2 linked regions of the Notamacropus eugenii genome follow. The protein of the gene in region 2 purifies or fractionates together with the protein of the main gene of each other region. This does not show direct contact. Links are inferred from orthologs where the notes say so. Each region holds a gene or a part of one and is shown on either strand. Other genes may lie near its edges.

Region 1 (7,170 bases), on a different chromosome or scaffold from region 2:
CTGTCAAGTCTACATCATACCATAGTAGAGTAAAAGACATTTTAAAAAACTTTAAAAAATAAACACAAAATACAGTTTTGTTAAATAACATTTTTGTGTATGGGGTTTGTTTTGTGATTTAACGTTAAATAAGTTTAGTTAATTTTAATTAAATTGTGCTTTTAAAATATGAAATAGTTCTTGACAAAATCATGGTTTGGTATAATTTGTTGTTTTAAAATGTAATTTTAATTTCTTTTAATCAATTAACCAAGAAATATTTATTAAGCATCAGGCAAGGTGTCAGGATATACATTTAAAAGTAAAGATGAAATATATGTAAAATGTGAATGAAAAACCCCAAGAGGCAGAATTTCTGGATAATTAATAATCAATGTATTAATTAGACTAGCCAGCAATCAATAAATTGATGTTTTGTGGTTTCTCTCTGTAACCAAAGACCCAGCCACCTCCAACAATCTAGACAGGGGAATCCATCTCCATCTAGACCACTGGATCACTCTAAACCAGGGATGGGGAACCTGTGGCCTTGAGTTCACATGTGACCCTTTGACAGAATCCAAACTTCACAGGACAAATCCCCCTTAATAAAAGAATTTGTTTTGTAAAGCTTGGACCCAGTCAAAAGATTGCACCTAAGGTTTAGAAAAATGTATGTTTGATTTCCCAGTTGATAAATGGTCAAAGGATATAAACAGGTAATTTGTGGAAAAAGAAATCAAAGATATATATGGTCACATGAAAAATGCTCTAAATCATTATTGATTAGAGAACTGCAAATTAAAACAACTGGAGGTACTATCTCACACCTATCAGACTGGTTAAAATGATAGAAGGGGAAAATAACAAATGTTGGAGAGCATATGGAAAAATTGGGACACTAATACCCTGTTGGTGGAGTTGTAAACTGATCTAATTATTTTAGAGAGCAATTTAGAATTATGTACAAAGTTGTAAAATTGTGTATACCCTTTAACATAGCAACACAACTATTAGGCTTGTTTCCCAAGGTGATCAGGGAAAAAGGAAAAGAACCTATGTGTTCCAAAATATTTACAGCAGTTCTCTTTGTGGTGGCAAAGAACTGGAAAGTGAGGGGTTGACCATCAATTGGGGAATAACTGAATAAGTTATGGTATATGATTGTGATAAAATACTACTATGCTATAAAAAATGATGAGCTGGTTGGTTTTAGAAAAATATAGAAAGACTTGGATGAAATAATGCAGTTAAATGAGCAGAACTGAGAGAACACTATCAGTAACAACAATAATGTTCAAAGAGTTAATAACTAAGCTGTTTTGAATAATATAATCATTTAAATCAATGACTTAAAATGCTCCAGAGAAAGAACTAATATATGGAAATATGTACAGACATACAGTGGAGATACTGTGGGTTTGGTTTCAAGAAATACTGACCATTCCCCTGAAGGCTTGGGTTTTATATTTAATTTTTGTGTAATATTTAATAACATGCTATTTCTGTCAAGTCTATATCATATCATAGTAGAATAAAAGATATATCATAATAAAATGATTATCACAATAGTGAGTCACGAATTTTTTGTTTCCCAGTGCATGTAAAAGTTATGTTTACAGTATACTGTAGACTATTAAGTGTTCAATAATGTCTAAAAATGTACATACTTTAAAAATACTTTATTGCTAAAGAATGCTAACCATCACCTGAGCCTTAGCAAATCCCAGTCTTTTTGGTGGTGGAGGATGTGTGTCCAGATGTCTATGGCTGCTAACTGATCAAGGTGGTAATTGCTGAGGGTTGGGGTGGCTGTGGCAATTTCTTAATTTCTTAAAAGACAACAATGAAGTTTGTCTCAACTGACTCTTTTTTTTGGAAATGGTATTTCATTTTTTCCAATTCCATGTAAAGATAGTTTTCAACATTCATTTTTAAAATAAAATTCTGAGTTCCAAATTTTTTTCTCCCTCCCTTTCTTCCATCCTCCCTCTCCAAGATAACAACAATCTGATATAGGTTATACCTGTGCAATCGTAACCACATTTGTACATTTTGATTCTTCCTTTCATGAAAGATTTCTCCATAGCATACAATGCTACTTAATAGCATTTTACCCACAGAACTTTTTTCAAAATTGGAGTCAGTCCTCTCAAACCCTCTTGCTGCTTTATCAACTAAGTTTATGTAATATTCTTCAATATTGTTGTGTCTCAGGGATTAGGCTTGAGGAGAAGGAGAGATGGAGTAGTCAGAACACAACATTTATTGATTTAAGTTTTCTGTCTTGTATGGCCATGGCTTGTGGCACCCCAAAGCAGTTAAAATAGTAACATAAAAGATCACTGATCAAAGATCATAGCAGATAGAATAATAATAAAAAAATTTTAAATATTGTAGCAATCATCAAAGTGTAACAGATATGATGTCAGCACATGCTATTAGAAAAATGGTGCTGATACATTTGCTTGTGGCAGATTTGCCACAAATCTTCAATTTGGGGGAAAAAAATTGCAGTGTCTGTGAAGCACAATAAAACAAAGTATGCTTGTACTGTATGATTTCACATATATCTATATCAAATGTTGGTCTTCTCTAATGCAAATTTGAGAGGCAGACAATTTGAAACTCAAGATGTGACAAAAAAATCCACATACACACATAACTAAAAAGAAAAATATGTTTGAACATAACAAAGAGAATAGAACCAGAAAGAAGCAAAGAACAGTGGTAAGCATAGGGTGCAGAACTTGATTTCACAAATGAACCAGTTAGGTACAGTGTTAAAGTACATACCAATTTGAATTGAAGTCTGGATTAACTTAATAAAAATTATCTTAAGGAACTTTCTTCCTATATTACAATCAGTTAATGAGACTCAAGGTAATAAGCATGTATACAAATACCAGACTTTATTATGGCACTCTATTTGGGTTGACACTGTTAATCTTTTGTTTGTACAATTTGCAAATATTTTTCTATTACACCAATATTTTTGAATGTTTTATATCAATATGATTAATAATTCTAGTTCCTATTGTTTATAATTGACAAGGTGGCATTTGATGTTAACTTTGTGCCACATTCCTTGGAATGTGATAAGCTCTCTTCTCAAGGGGATAGATGATCATTGTATGTAAGGTGGATTTTTATTAATCTTTCTTAGAGTTTAGTTCCAGGATCCATGCCTAAAAACCTCTAGTTCCTAGGTGTTAGATTTTCCCCAGACTCATGACTTGTAAACATCTCCACCATGCTTCTGTAGTGAGATATGGGGATGTTATAATGTGATATTTACTATGCTTGTGCTGAATGACAATATTGCTGAAGTTAACCTGTGAGCTTAATGTTGGCAAGATGCCTTCTTTGTCTGTTGCCCTATAAATCAAGCGGGCACCAGTCAGTAAGTGTGGATTTGGGGATTTGGGTAATGGCATAGAGGAATGCATATACCTGCCTTGAATGGCCCTCAACGCTTGGGAGGAATCTGTGTTTGCCTCAACCGGCCTTCATTGAGGCTTAGGGGACCTGGAGGAGTTGTGGTTTCTACTATATTCTCACCTGCCCCTGCTAGAAGAGTTGTAGGGAAGCTGAGTTGGTGCTCCCATTATCAGCAACTCCTTTGTGAGAAGACTAAAGTAAACTTATCTACTCCTTTTCTATGACTCCACTCCTATTTTCCTGTCTGCCCAGATCAAGAGTGAACCTGTGCTACAATTGGTATAGTTGGTGTTACCTGTATGTCTACCTGTGAAACAACCATTTAAGAGATTGAACAATTCTTATGTGAAAAATCAAACAGAGGAAAACGTCCATATTATGCTGAACAGGCATTCTTACATACAATTTACCTGTAGAACTGAATATAAGGAAGAAGGCAAACTGGATTGCTTTTGGCAAAGCACCCAGAGTCTTTCATTTTTATCTCAAGCTGTCTTCCTAAAGTCCCATCTTTATATGGTTTTCCTCCAATGATTTGTTGGGAGAATTCTCTAGACATAAAAAATAAGACATCTTTGGAAAGGTGTACCTATCACGGGGATTCCAGTGATAAGCAGACTAAGGAAATTGTTGATAGCAGCAGATCTGGGAGACTTAGTTTTTTTTTTTTTTTTTTATAACTGGTTCATTTAGAGTACACAGACAATTGGCAATATTTTTCGGAAACTTAGGATAGATAAGTAATACCTTTCATAGGAGAGGAAAGTTAAGAAAGGAAGAATCATTCAAGGCAGAAAAGGGAAACTTTTACCATGTAGTTGGCAGGGTTTATTACTGGAATGAGAAGATATTCTCTGTGCAAGGGGAAAAGAAAAGACTCTTACAATTGTGAAAGATGTTCTTTTAGACAACTGCGGGGTTGGAATGACTATTTAGACAAGACTGTGGGTGTCTTTTATCCAAGGATAACAAATAGTTATTACAACAGTAGCAGAGACTATCTACATAGTTTGTTATATTTCTGGTTTACTTTCCACCTTTAGACCACTAGGTATTTGGAGGTGTTTCTACATTATTATTAGTCCATCAAGATGTGAAACAGCTGTGGTTCCACATTTCCCCCACAGAGGGAATCGCCAAATGCCACAATTTTTTGAAACCTGATAATTGCAGGTGACCAGAAGGATAATGGAGAAGGGTATGATGAGTCTAAGGTGCAGTGTTATCACCGTGGATGCCTTAGGTACAACAAAGTTTCACGAACAATATGTGATTACTGAAAGGTACGATCTAACTGGTGGAACAAGGGAAAAGGGAGGGACAGTCACAGTACTGAACAAGGACGCACAGATACATTAGATATGCTAAATTTGGTAGACCTTTGAGGGAGGAGTTATGGGAAAGCATGGAACAGAATCATCCAGATGGTGAGCTGTGGAGGGTTTGGGATCTGCATAGATGTAAGGATTGACCAACCATTGGGACCACAAATCCATTGAAATGCTTCAGGTGGCCAAGCCTGTGAATTCTACCTTCCTAACATTTCTTACCTGCGCTCCTTTCTCTCCGACACTGCCCCCACCACTCTCACCATCTCACACCTAGATTATGCAGTAGCTTGCTGGTGGATCTCCCTGCCACCGAATCCTTCCCTGCCCTACTCCTGTTCTCCACTCAGCTTACTTCTGAAGTGTAAGTCTGACTGTCCTGTCACCTCCAGGAAGAAACCTGACCCACCTCAGAGCCAAAGGCACTGGCTTGTTACCTGTCCCTCCAAGAAGACATCCTCTCTCCGTTTCTGGCTGGGATTGGAATCAGGAAAGCCCGAGTCCAAGTTTAACCACAGATACTTACTGTGTTACTTTGGGCAAGTCCCTTAATTGTTGTCAGCCTCAGTTTCCTTAATTGTAAAATAGGAGTTTCATAAGAATTAAAGAAGTCATTTGTAGCAGTGCTTGGCACAGCCGACAGTACAGTCTGGCTTATACTAGGATCATATATACATATATACATACATATAGAAGGGTTTTATACATATGTATGTATAGATACACGCATACACACAGCAGGGTTACCGAAGGCAGGTTCCGGCTGCGCCTTCTGCCTTCCTCCAAGTCCCCGCCAGCCTCCCCTTCCCCAAGCTTGCCCTCCGCTGCTGTGTCTCTTTACACACTATGGTTCGCAGGTCGTCCCCCCATCAGACCACTTCAGAGAACGGGCTGTTTCTGGCCTCTCCAGAGCCCGGCACACAGCAGGCGCCTACAAGCGGACGATGGCGGACGGGCGGAGACCTGGATTAACATGACTGCCACAGTAGCCAATGGGGGTTAGCGGCTTCGGGTGGCACCACAAATTGTTTACTTTGACCCAGTTCGGTCTAATCTGGAAAATGTCTTCACAAGAACTCTTCACAACTTCTCTCGGAAACAGTGACGAGGTGTGCAGCCTTTCGGCCGCTCCTCCACCCGCAGCTCGATGATTCGGCACTCGTCCGAGTCCCCTGCCAATCTACCTCTCCTAGGTCCCGCCCTTCCCTCTTCCCTGGGGTGGATTCTCTTCAAGGCTTGGGAGGATAACCGACTTATCGATCCCCTCATCTTTTAATTGCCCCACCTGGCGCGAGGCGCTGCCATTCGCCGGGGCGGGAAGGCACGAATGTAGGGACCGGGAAAGGTTCGCTTCAAGGGCTAGATTCTGGTTTCCTTTACAAACGGGTTCGATACACTGGCGGAAGAACCAGTTTGAGCCTGCCTTACGGCCCCTCCGGGAGGAGGACGAGGGAGCCGCGCCCTCCTGCCCGCCTAGGAACGGGACTTGAAAAAAGCGACCCGCATTGGCACGGAGCGAGGAGGGCGGCGGGCGGAGAACGCGCGCGCACCCTTCCTCCTCGGTCAGTTACGGGCGCGCGCACGCACGCGAGCCCCTCGTGGCTCCGCCCCCGCACGCTCCCCCGCCCGCTGGCTTGGGCTCGGCGCACAGGCGCTTGTTTGTCTCTGCGGGGTCCCTAACGGAGAGCTGCGGAGCCGGCGGCGATGCCCGGAAAGCTGAAGGTGAAGATCGTGGCCGGGCGCCATTTGCCCGTAATGGACCGAGCGAGCGATCTGACTGATGCCTTCGTTGAGGTGGGTGCCCTGTCCTGCCACCTGTGCCCCGGCTCCCACCCTCCTTCGCCCCCCTTCGGGGATGCCTGCCTGCGGCGGCCCACGCCCGTGGGATCGCCCACGGATTGCAGCGGCCCCCCGCGCGCGCCGTGTGCGTGACCCTGGCACAAGGGCACTGCACGGGTCCACCTGGCCGCTCCGCAGGCTGAGGCCGGGCTGGGCACCCGCTGGGAAGGGGCACGTCAAGGTTGTAGCCCCTCGTGGTCACTGCTGCTGTTCGCAGTGAGAAGCTGGGCTGAATCGAGAGAACCAGAAGGGTTGAAATGGATTATTTTCTTTGTGGTGACAGTTCTCCGGAATGCAGATGCATGGGCATTTCCAGCGTAGCTAATGCTTTCTGCTCTTGTTTATGACGGTAGATCTTTTGAGCAGATCTCTAGGGGGCGAATTTATTCCCTTAAGGTAGGAAACCAATTAAATGCTACCATCCATTTAAAATTGCACAATTTCCCCCCCAAACTACTAATTACTGTAAAAGTTACGCAAATTAATGTAGGCCTAGGGTCCTGAAGGAATTAATTCTGAGTGTGATAAAAACCAAGTAAAAATGGAAAATAACATCCACAAGTTCGGCTATTGATGCTTTGGG
Region 2 (7,118 bases):
ACCTTCTCAACGAGGTCCACAAACAGGTCCCGCACATCCTTGGTGTGGGTTAGCTTGGAGGCGATGTTGACCAGCCCTCGGGACAGGTTCTGTGGGGCCAGGAAGCCAGGAGTCCTGGAGTCTGTCCCTCTCACCCCAGGGACCCCAGAATCCCAGAGCAGGGGGACCCCCCTTCTACAGGCACCACCCTGGGCTCTGACAGGATCAGCAGCAGCATCTGCTGCAGAGTCACTACAAGAAACCAGGGTTCGGGTGGCCGAGCTGAGGATGGCAGATGGAGGATTTGGCAAAAGCTCCAGCCTGGGCCCTGGTCCTGACACTCAGGAAGGCTGCTCCCCTCTCTGGGCCTCTGAAGAGACAGCAGGGTGGGGGCCAGGCCCTTCCAGAGGACTCAGGATCCCTTACGGTCTGCAGGTTGGGGACGGACCTTGAAGCTGGCTTCCATTTCTGGAAAGACGCTAAGTTTCCCTCGGAGAGCAGTGCACACCAAGCTGTGAGGAAGAGAGAAGTAGTCAATCCTGGGCCCTGGGTCCTTCCTCCTGGGCCCTGACTCTTTTCGTCTCCAGCCCCAGCCACCTCTTATGGAGATCAAGAAGGTCCTTGTCAGCCACCAGCACCTTGAGCTCCTTCAGATCCTGGAGAAATTCCTTGTCCAGGTCTACGTCCATGTCATCCACCTGAGAGTCTGCAGAGGGGTCCCCAGGGAGGAGGGAGAGACCCCAGTGAGGCCTGGGCGCTGGCTACAGACTGCCACATCTGGCCAGAGCCTGGAGAGGAAGGGGCCTCAAGCAGAGAAAAGCAGCCTGGCTGGCTGAGAAGCCCTTGCCAGGGAGGATGTCATTTATAAGCTGGGGGACCATAGTACAGTAGACCTGGAGTCAGGAAGGCCTGGGCTCTGCCTCAGACAATGACTGACAGCATGACCTTGGATTTATCCCTTAACTGAGTCTCTCAGAAAATGAGAGGTTAGATATGAAAGTCCCCAGGGACCCCCTCCCCGCCCCAGCACTAAATCAATGATCCTGTGACTCAGTTTTCCCCCAGGGAAGGATAGATATGCTTGGCTGTACCTGCTCTGAGTCTTACAGTAAGTACTTTCTGCATTAATCTGCCAGACAGAAGTTAGCACTCATTTGAGCCTTGGGAGATTAGGTGGGACTAAAAGCCAGGAACCCATTGTTGGGGGCGGGGAGCTGCTCACCCACAGCACCGGGTGTCCAGTTCTGAATCATCAGTTCAGCACAGAAGGCTAAGTCCCCAAAAGTCAAATACTGAAGCTTTTTCTTGCCCGTCTCAAAGCGGTTGTTAGCGAAGAAAACCACAGCAGCGTAGTCCCTAGAGGGAGCCCGGGCTCTTAGCCAATCTCCAGACCCCTGGGGCCAAGCCCTCTCAATCCCCCACACCCCTCACCTGGCCAGCCGGTCAGAGAGGAGGAAATGCTGCTGGATGTTGCCAGCCAGGGAGCCCCGCATTTCCTCCACCACCTTGAACACTCGCTTGAAGTTGTCAAACTGTGGGGTAGAAAGTGGCAGGGAGGCTGAGGTAGGAGGACTAGGGTCACTGTCCCAAGAGAAAATACATTATCAGCAGCGCCTAAGGCAGGCCAGCCCATGGAACCTGGAAGCTCAGCTTCATAACCCACTTCAAGTTTCATCTTCTGGTGCCAAGTTCACAATGATCAGTCAGTTTTCTTCTGTCTTTTTTTTTTTAAATCAAATTAACCAATGGTTTATCTGTTTTACTGACTTTTTCATAAAACCATCTACTAGGTTTTTAAAAATCAATTCAATGGTTTTCTTCTTTTGAATTTTATTCATCTCTCCTTCGGTTTTCAGGACATCCAGTCTGGTGTTTAATTGGGAATTTTCTTTGTCTTTTCCTAGTTTTTTCTTTACCCAACTTGGTGATCTGCTCGACTCCCTAAGTGCACTGTTTTGGGATAGCTTTGAGGAGAGAGGGGGTCACAGGGCTGTCTTCAAGGATGGGAGGGATGCACAGGAGAGAAAAGGGAAATCCATGCCCAATGGCCACCCAGACACCGGGCCTGAGAGGGGGTGGGCCCTGACCTGTCTCCGGCAGCTCTTCAGGGTCACCCCTGTCTTGGCACTGATGTCATCCAAGTCCTTCTTGGTGCCCTTGGACAGCTTCTTTCCCAGCACCTCCCGGACAAAGGCCTCATCAAAGGTGTAGTACCTGGGGGAGGGAAGGGGGGCACAGGATGGAGAAGGGGAGAAACCAAAGGGGAAGAGGAAGGGGCTTCTGACCACAGGACCAAGAAGCTGACCATGGGCAAAGCTAATTGTAGGGGGGTAGGCCGTGACTTTATGGGGAGACCGGGTCTGGCAGGGGGCAGAGCCTTGGCTGCTGCGGGGCAGCAGGGGGAGGGGCCTGGGGCAGGGGAGGGCGGGACCCAGGGGCAGCAGGGGGCGGGGCCTCGAGCCAGGGGAGGGCGGGACCCAGGGGCAGCAGGGGGCGGAGCCCCGCAGCCGGGGGCGGGGCCTCGGGGCCCCCACCTCTCGATGAGCAGGGCCTGCCTGGACGGCGGGATCTGGAAGACAAGCTGGTGCAGCAGCTTGGGCGGCGTGTGCAGGAGGCGCTCGAGCATGTGGAACGTGCGGTAGTGGTCCATGGTGTCGCTCTGTAGCACGCCCGCCGTGGCCCCCGTCTGCTCCAAGATGCCCGAACGCACCCGCAGCCCCACGGCATCGCTCACTGGGGACGAGAGGCGGCCATGGAGGCAGGCAGGGGGAGGGGGAGGGGCGCGCCCCGCCCCCACTCCCGCCCCCGCCCAGCCTCGCGTCCCCGCTCGCGCCCCCGCCCGCACCCGAGTATCCGTCCAGCCAGAGTCGATACACGTCCTCGTCGATGAGGGTCGTGTTCCCCACGAAGATGTCCAGCTCGTTGGTCATGGCGGAGCCGGGCGCCCGGACACCCACCGGACCACACTGAACTCAATCCGGCCCGACCCCGGAGCAGCCACCGCTTCCGGGTGCAGCCAGGCCTCGGCTCCCGCACTCGCAGCGAACCACGGACCACTTCCGGTGCGGAGGGGCGGTGGCTGCGGGTCCTGGGGAGGGGCCGGGGCCAGGCCACGCCCCTAGCTGGGCGGTGGCCCCTCCCTATTTCCTCTTCGGCCCCGCCCAATCCTCAGAGCCACCCGCAGCCCTGCGGCTCAGAAGCAAGGGGAAATCCCGGCGCTGGAGACTTCCCCGCCCTCTCCGCAGCTATTCCTTCCCCACCTCCGACCCACAGCTCCATATTTCATACTCCTCTCCTCCTCCCCTTTACTAATTTCCCCTCCCTCAGCTCCCCCACCTCCTCCTCCTTTCCTGTCCCCCCCATCCACAGCTCCTAATTCCATCCCCCTCTCCCTTTTTCCCTTCACAGCTTTCCGATCTCCCATCTCACAGCTCCCCATTCCTTGTCTCCATGCTCTTTCCCAACTTCCCCTCCTCTAGCTCCTTCTCCTTTCCCACCTGCCATCCCACAGATCCCCTATTCTGTATACCTCTTCTCTTTACCAATCTCCCCTTCCTCCTTCCACAGCTCCTCATCCCTACATCCCATAGCTCTTCCTTCCATTTCTCCATCCCCTTTGTCAATCTCCCCTTTCCTCTTCCACGACTTTCTCATCCCCCATCCTCCAGCTCCTCATGCCATATCCTTCTCCCTTTACCAATCCCTCCTCCCCCTTTCCAAAGCTCATCCTCCTTCCCCATCCCCCACCGCCAGTTCTCATTCCATATTCCTTCCCCTTTATCAGTCTCCCCCATCCCGCCCCTTTCCCTATCTCCCCATCCCTTCGCCTTCCCACAACATCACCTTTATTAAATCAGTAAGTCAATTAAAAAAAATTTATTAAGAAAAATGCATCAAGCACCTACTGCCCGTCGGGCATTTCAGATACAAAGACAAACAGTGGAAACAGCTCTTACCCTAGGAGAGTTTCTTTTCCTGGGAAAAGTAGATAACAATCTAGCCCTTGTTATTGCTAGAGAATGGGGGAAGGAAGGAGGACCAGCCAGGGAGAAGAGCCTAGGTGAGAGGTGATGGGCCTGTGGCGATTGAAAGGGATGGAGGTGAGGAGGAAGGGCATTCCAGACTCAGGGCCTCTGGAAAGGCACAGTTTCTCCTCACTCCTCTCCCAGCTCCACCTCCCCCATCCTCCTCTTCTCTCCCCACCTTTCTTTCCTCTCTCTACCTCCTCTTCATCAGTCTTCAGCCCCCCACCCTAATCTCTTCTTCATCCCTTTTCTTCTCACTATCCTCCATTGGGGTCCCCTCTCCCCTGGCCATAGCATTTATCCCTAAGCCCTACCGTCTTCCATCTGTCCCTCTGCCCATCTTCATCCCTCCTTTCCCCCTCCCTCCAGTTGGCCTCATCACTCTCCCCACTTCTCAATCCTCCTTCCTCTCTCTGCTCCAGTCTGGTGAGGAATCTTACAGCAATCCTGGGCACCTCAGTCTCTCCAGTCCACTCCAGGCTTAACAGTTCCTAGCTTGGAGCTTCGGGACTAGGTTGCCCATTCAGGGCCAGTGGCTAGAGCGAAAGGACCAGCCACTAAGAGAGGAAAAGTGAGACCTGAAGAAGAAAGGGAGATGTAGGGGCCTGGGATGCTTGTGTTCTACTGGAGGGTCCCCGCAGGGTGAAAGTGATGATAGGGTGGGACTCTAAACAGGTGGGTTCAGGGTTCAGACAAGCCATGGGGCAGGCAGACCCTGTAAGGACAGCGCTTGGGGGAAGGCCCAGGGACTCCTAGGTCTAGAGGTCAGGAAGATATAGGACTGTGTTTTAGAGAAGGTCCAAGGTCAGGGGAGATGAGGACAGCACCCCAGGCTTTGAGAGCACAGGAACACCTGGATGCCAAGGCAGACCACTGAGGACCTGGAGGGCAGGCTCCGAGTGCTCAGAACTCTAGAGAAAGAAAGCTAGATTAGAAGCCCCAGGAGAATTGGCTCAGGCAGAGGTGGGATAACAATGCCCAGGGATAGGTACTGGGACGTCTGGGTTCTAGGGAAGAGAAGATGGGAGCCCTTTGAGGACACGAGCTCAGACTTCTGGGTCCAGGGTTCAGGTAAAGGTTAAGACAGTAACCTGGGGCAGCCTCTGGGAGTCCTTTGAGGGCAGTGAGCTGGGACACCTAAGTCCTGGATTCTGTCAGAGAAGAGAAGATAATCCTCTCCTCATCCCCGCAGGCACACGGGACAGCCAGGGTTCTGGGGAAGCTCAGACAGGAGTCCTTTGAGGATAAGACCCTGAGACTACTTGATCCCAGGTTCAGGCAGAGATAAGAGGCTAGCCCCTCAGGGCAGGCACCGGGACGCCTGGGTTCAGGGGAAGATCAGATGGGAGCCCTTTCAGGACAGGAGTTCAGACCTCTGGGTTCAGGGTTCAGGAGGAGATGAAGTTAGCCCCCCAGGGCAGGTACCAGGACTCTTGGGTTCTGGAGAAGATCAGATGGGAGCCCTTTGATGACACGAGCTCAGGCTTCCAAGTCCAGGGTTCAGGTGGAGGTTAGGACAGTACTCTAGGGCAGGCTCTGAGAGTCCTTTTGAGGACAGGGAGCCAGGACACCTGAGTTCTGGATTCTGTCAGAGATGGGAAGATGATCCTCTCCCCATCCCCCCAGGCACTGGGACGCCAGGGTTCTGGGGAAGCTCGGACGGGAGTCCTTTGAGGATAAGACCTTGAAACTACTTGATCCCAGATTCAGACAGAGATAGAAGGCTTGTCCCTCAGGGCAGGCACCGGGACGCCTGGGTTCAGGGGAAGATCAGATGGGAGCCCTTTGAGGACTTGAGGACGGGAGTTCAGACCTCTGGGTCCAGGATTCAGGCCGAGATAGGAGGCTAGCCCCCCAAGGCTAACACCAGGACCCCTGGGTTCTGGGGAAGAGGAGATGGGAGTCCTTGGAGGACCGGGAGCTGGGACACCTGAGTCCCGGATTCTATCAGAGATGGGAGGAGAGTTCCTTCCCTACCGCCGCAGCCATGGGAATGCCACGGTTCTGTAGAAACTCAGGTGGGGACCCTGTGAGGACTGGGAAGTCAGTCGTCCGGGTCCAAGGTTGTGAAGCGGAGCAGAAAGGACCCTTCTCCCAGCCGGGGTCCCCCTCCCTTCCCCTCCGGGGCCGGCGCCAGGCCTGAGCATCCCTGGGCGGGGCCCCCCTCCCCGGGCTGCACCGCGGTCCGGCCCCATTGGCCGCGTCCCCGTGACGTCGGGGGGCCCCGCCCCGGGCCGCCCGCTCGCCCCCGGGCCCCCATTCTCGCCGCTGCTGCCGCCGCCGCCGCCGCTCCCTCGGCCTCGGGGCCGCTTCTGCCTCGGCCTGGGCCCGGGCCGCCTCCGCGCCCCTGCCCCGCTCGGCCGGCCCGGGGGGCAGCGGGCCGGGGGGGATGCGCCAGCGGGCGCCCGGCCGGGGGCCATGGAGGGCGGCGAGGCGGCGGGCGGCCCGGGGCGGCCGCTGAGCGACGCGGAGCTGGCGGCGCTGCCCAAGGAGGAGCTGGTGCGGCGGCTGCGGCAGGAGGAGGCGGAGAAGCTGGCGGCGCTGGTGCAGCGCGGCCGCCTCATGCAGGAGGTCAACCGGCAGCTGCAGGGCCACCTGGGCGAGATCCGCGAGCTCAAGCAGGTCAACCGGCGGCTGCAGGACGAGAACCGCGAGCTGCGCGACCTCTGCTGCTTCCTAGACCACGAGCGCCAGAAGGGCCGCCGCGTGGCCCGCGAGTGGCAGCTTTTCGGGGCGCACGCGTCCCGGGCCGTGCGCGACGAGCTGGCCGGCTGCTGGCAGAAGCTGGCGCAGCTCGAGGGCCGCCAGGACGAGCTGCTGCGCGAGAACCTGGCGCTCAAGGAGCTCTGCCTGGCGCTCGAGGAGGAGTGGGGCCCGCGGCCGGGCGCTGGGCCCGGGCCCGGGGCCGCCTCTGCCGCAGCGGCCGCGGCAGCAGCGGGAGCAGCAGCAGCAGCTGAGGCCGGGGCCGAGCCCGCGGGAGGCGCAGGAGGCCCCGGCCCCGACGGGCCGGGCGGCCCGGGGCCGGAGCTGGGGCTGCCCCCGTGCGGGGCCCGGGACGTGGGAGACGGCAGCTCGAGCACGGGCAGCGTGGGCAGCCCGGACCAGCTGCACCTG

What was found. The genes of interacting proteins can lie anywhere in the genome.
Region 1: the proteins of FIBP (region 2) and C2CD5 purify together in Homo sapiens (affinity purification with mass spectrometry; 3 studies listed by BioGRID and IntAct, counting the BioPlex papers as one, with this or other methods). This does not show direct contact. The link is inferred for Notamacropus eugenii from reciprocal best matches to the Homo sapiens genes FIBP and C2CD5.

The regions. Positions count from the first base shown.
Region 1 is NC_092874.1:183,519,864-183,527,033, forward strand, and holds the start of C2CD5 (C2 domain-containing protein 5), read left to right. Parts: upstream 1-4,084; 5' UTR 4,085-6,452; coding exon 6,453-6,542; intron 6,543-7,170. UniProt on the Homo sapiens protein: Required for insulin-stimulated glucose transport and glucose transporter SLC2A4/GLUT4 translocation from intracellular glucose storage vesicle (GSV) to the plasma membrane (PM) in adipocytes.
Region 2 is NC_092873.1:18,603,742-18,610,859, forward strand, and holds the start of FIBP (acidic fibroblast growth factor intracellular-binding protein), read right to left. Parts: upstream 3,074-7,118; 5' UTR 2,910-3,073; coding exon 2,825-2,909; intron 2,713-2,824; coding exon 2,514-2,712; intron 2,194-2,513; coding exon 2,067-2,193; intron 1,512-2,066; coding exon 1,411-1,511; intron 1,336-1,410; coding exon 1,202-1,335; intron 686-1,201; coding exon 577-685; intron 492-576; coding exon 428-491; intron 90-427; coding exon 3-89; intron 1-2. Other genes in the region: CCDC85B (coiled-coil domain-containing protein 85B), read left to right, coding at 6,423-7,118. UniProt on the Homo sapiens protein: May be involved in mitogenic function of FGF1. May mediate with IER2 FGF-signaling in the establishment of laterality in the embryo.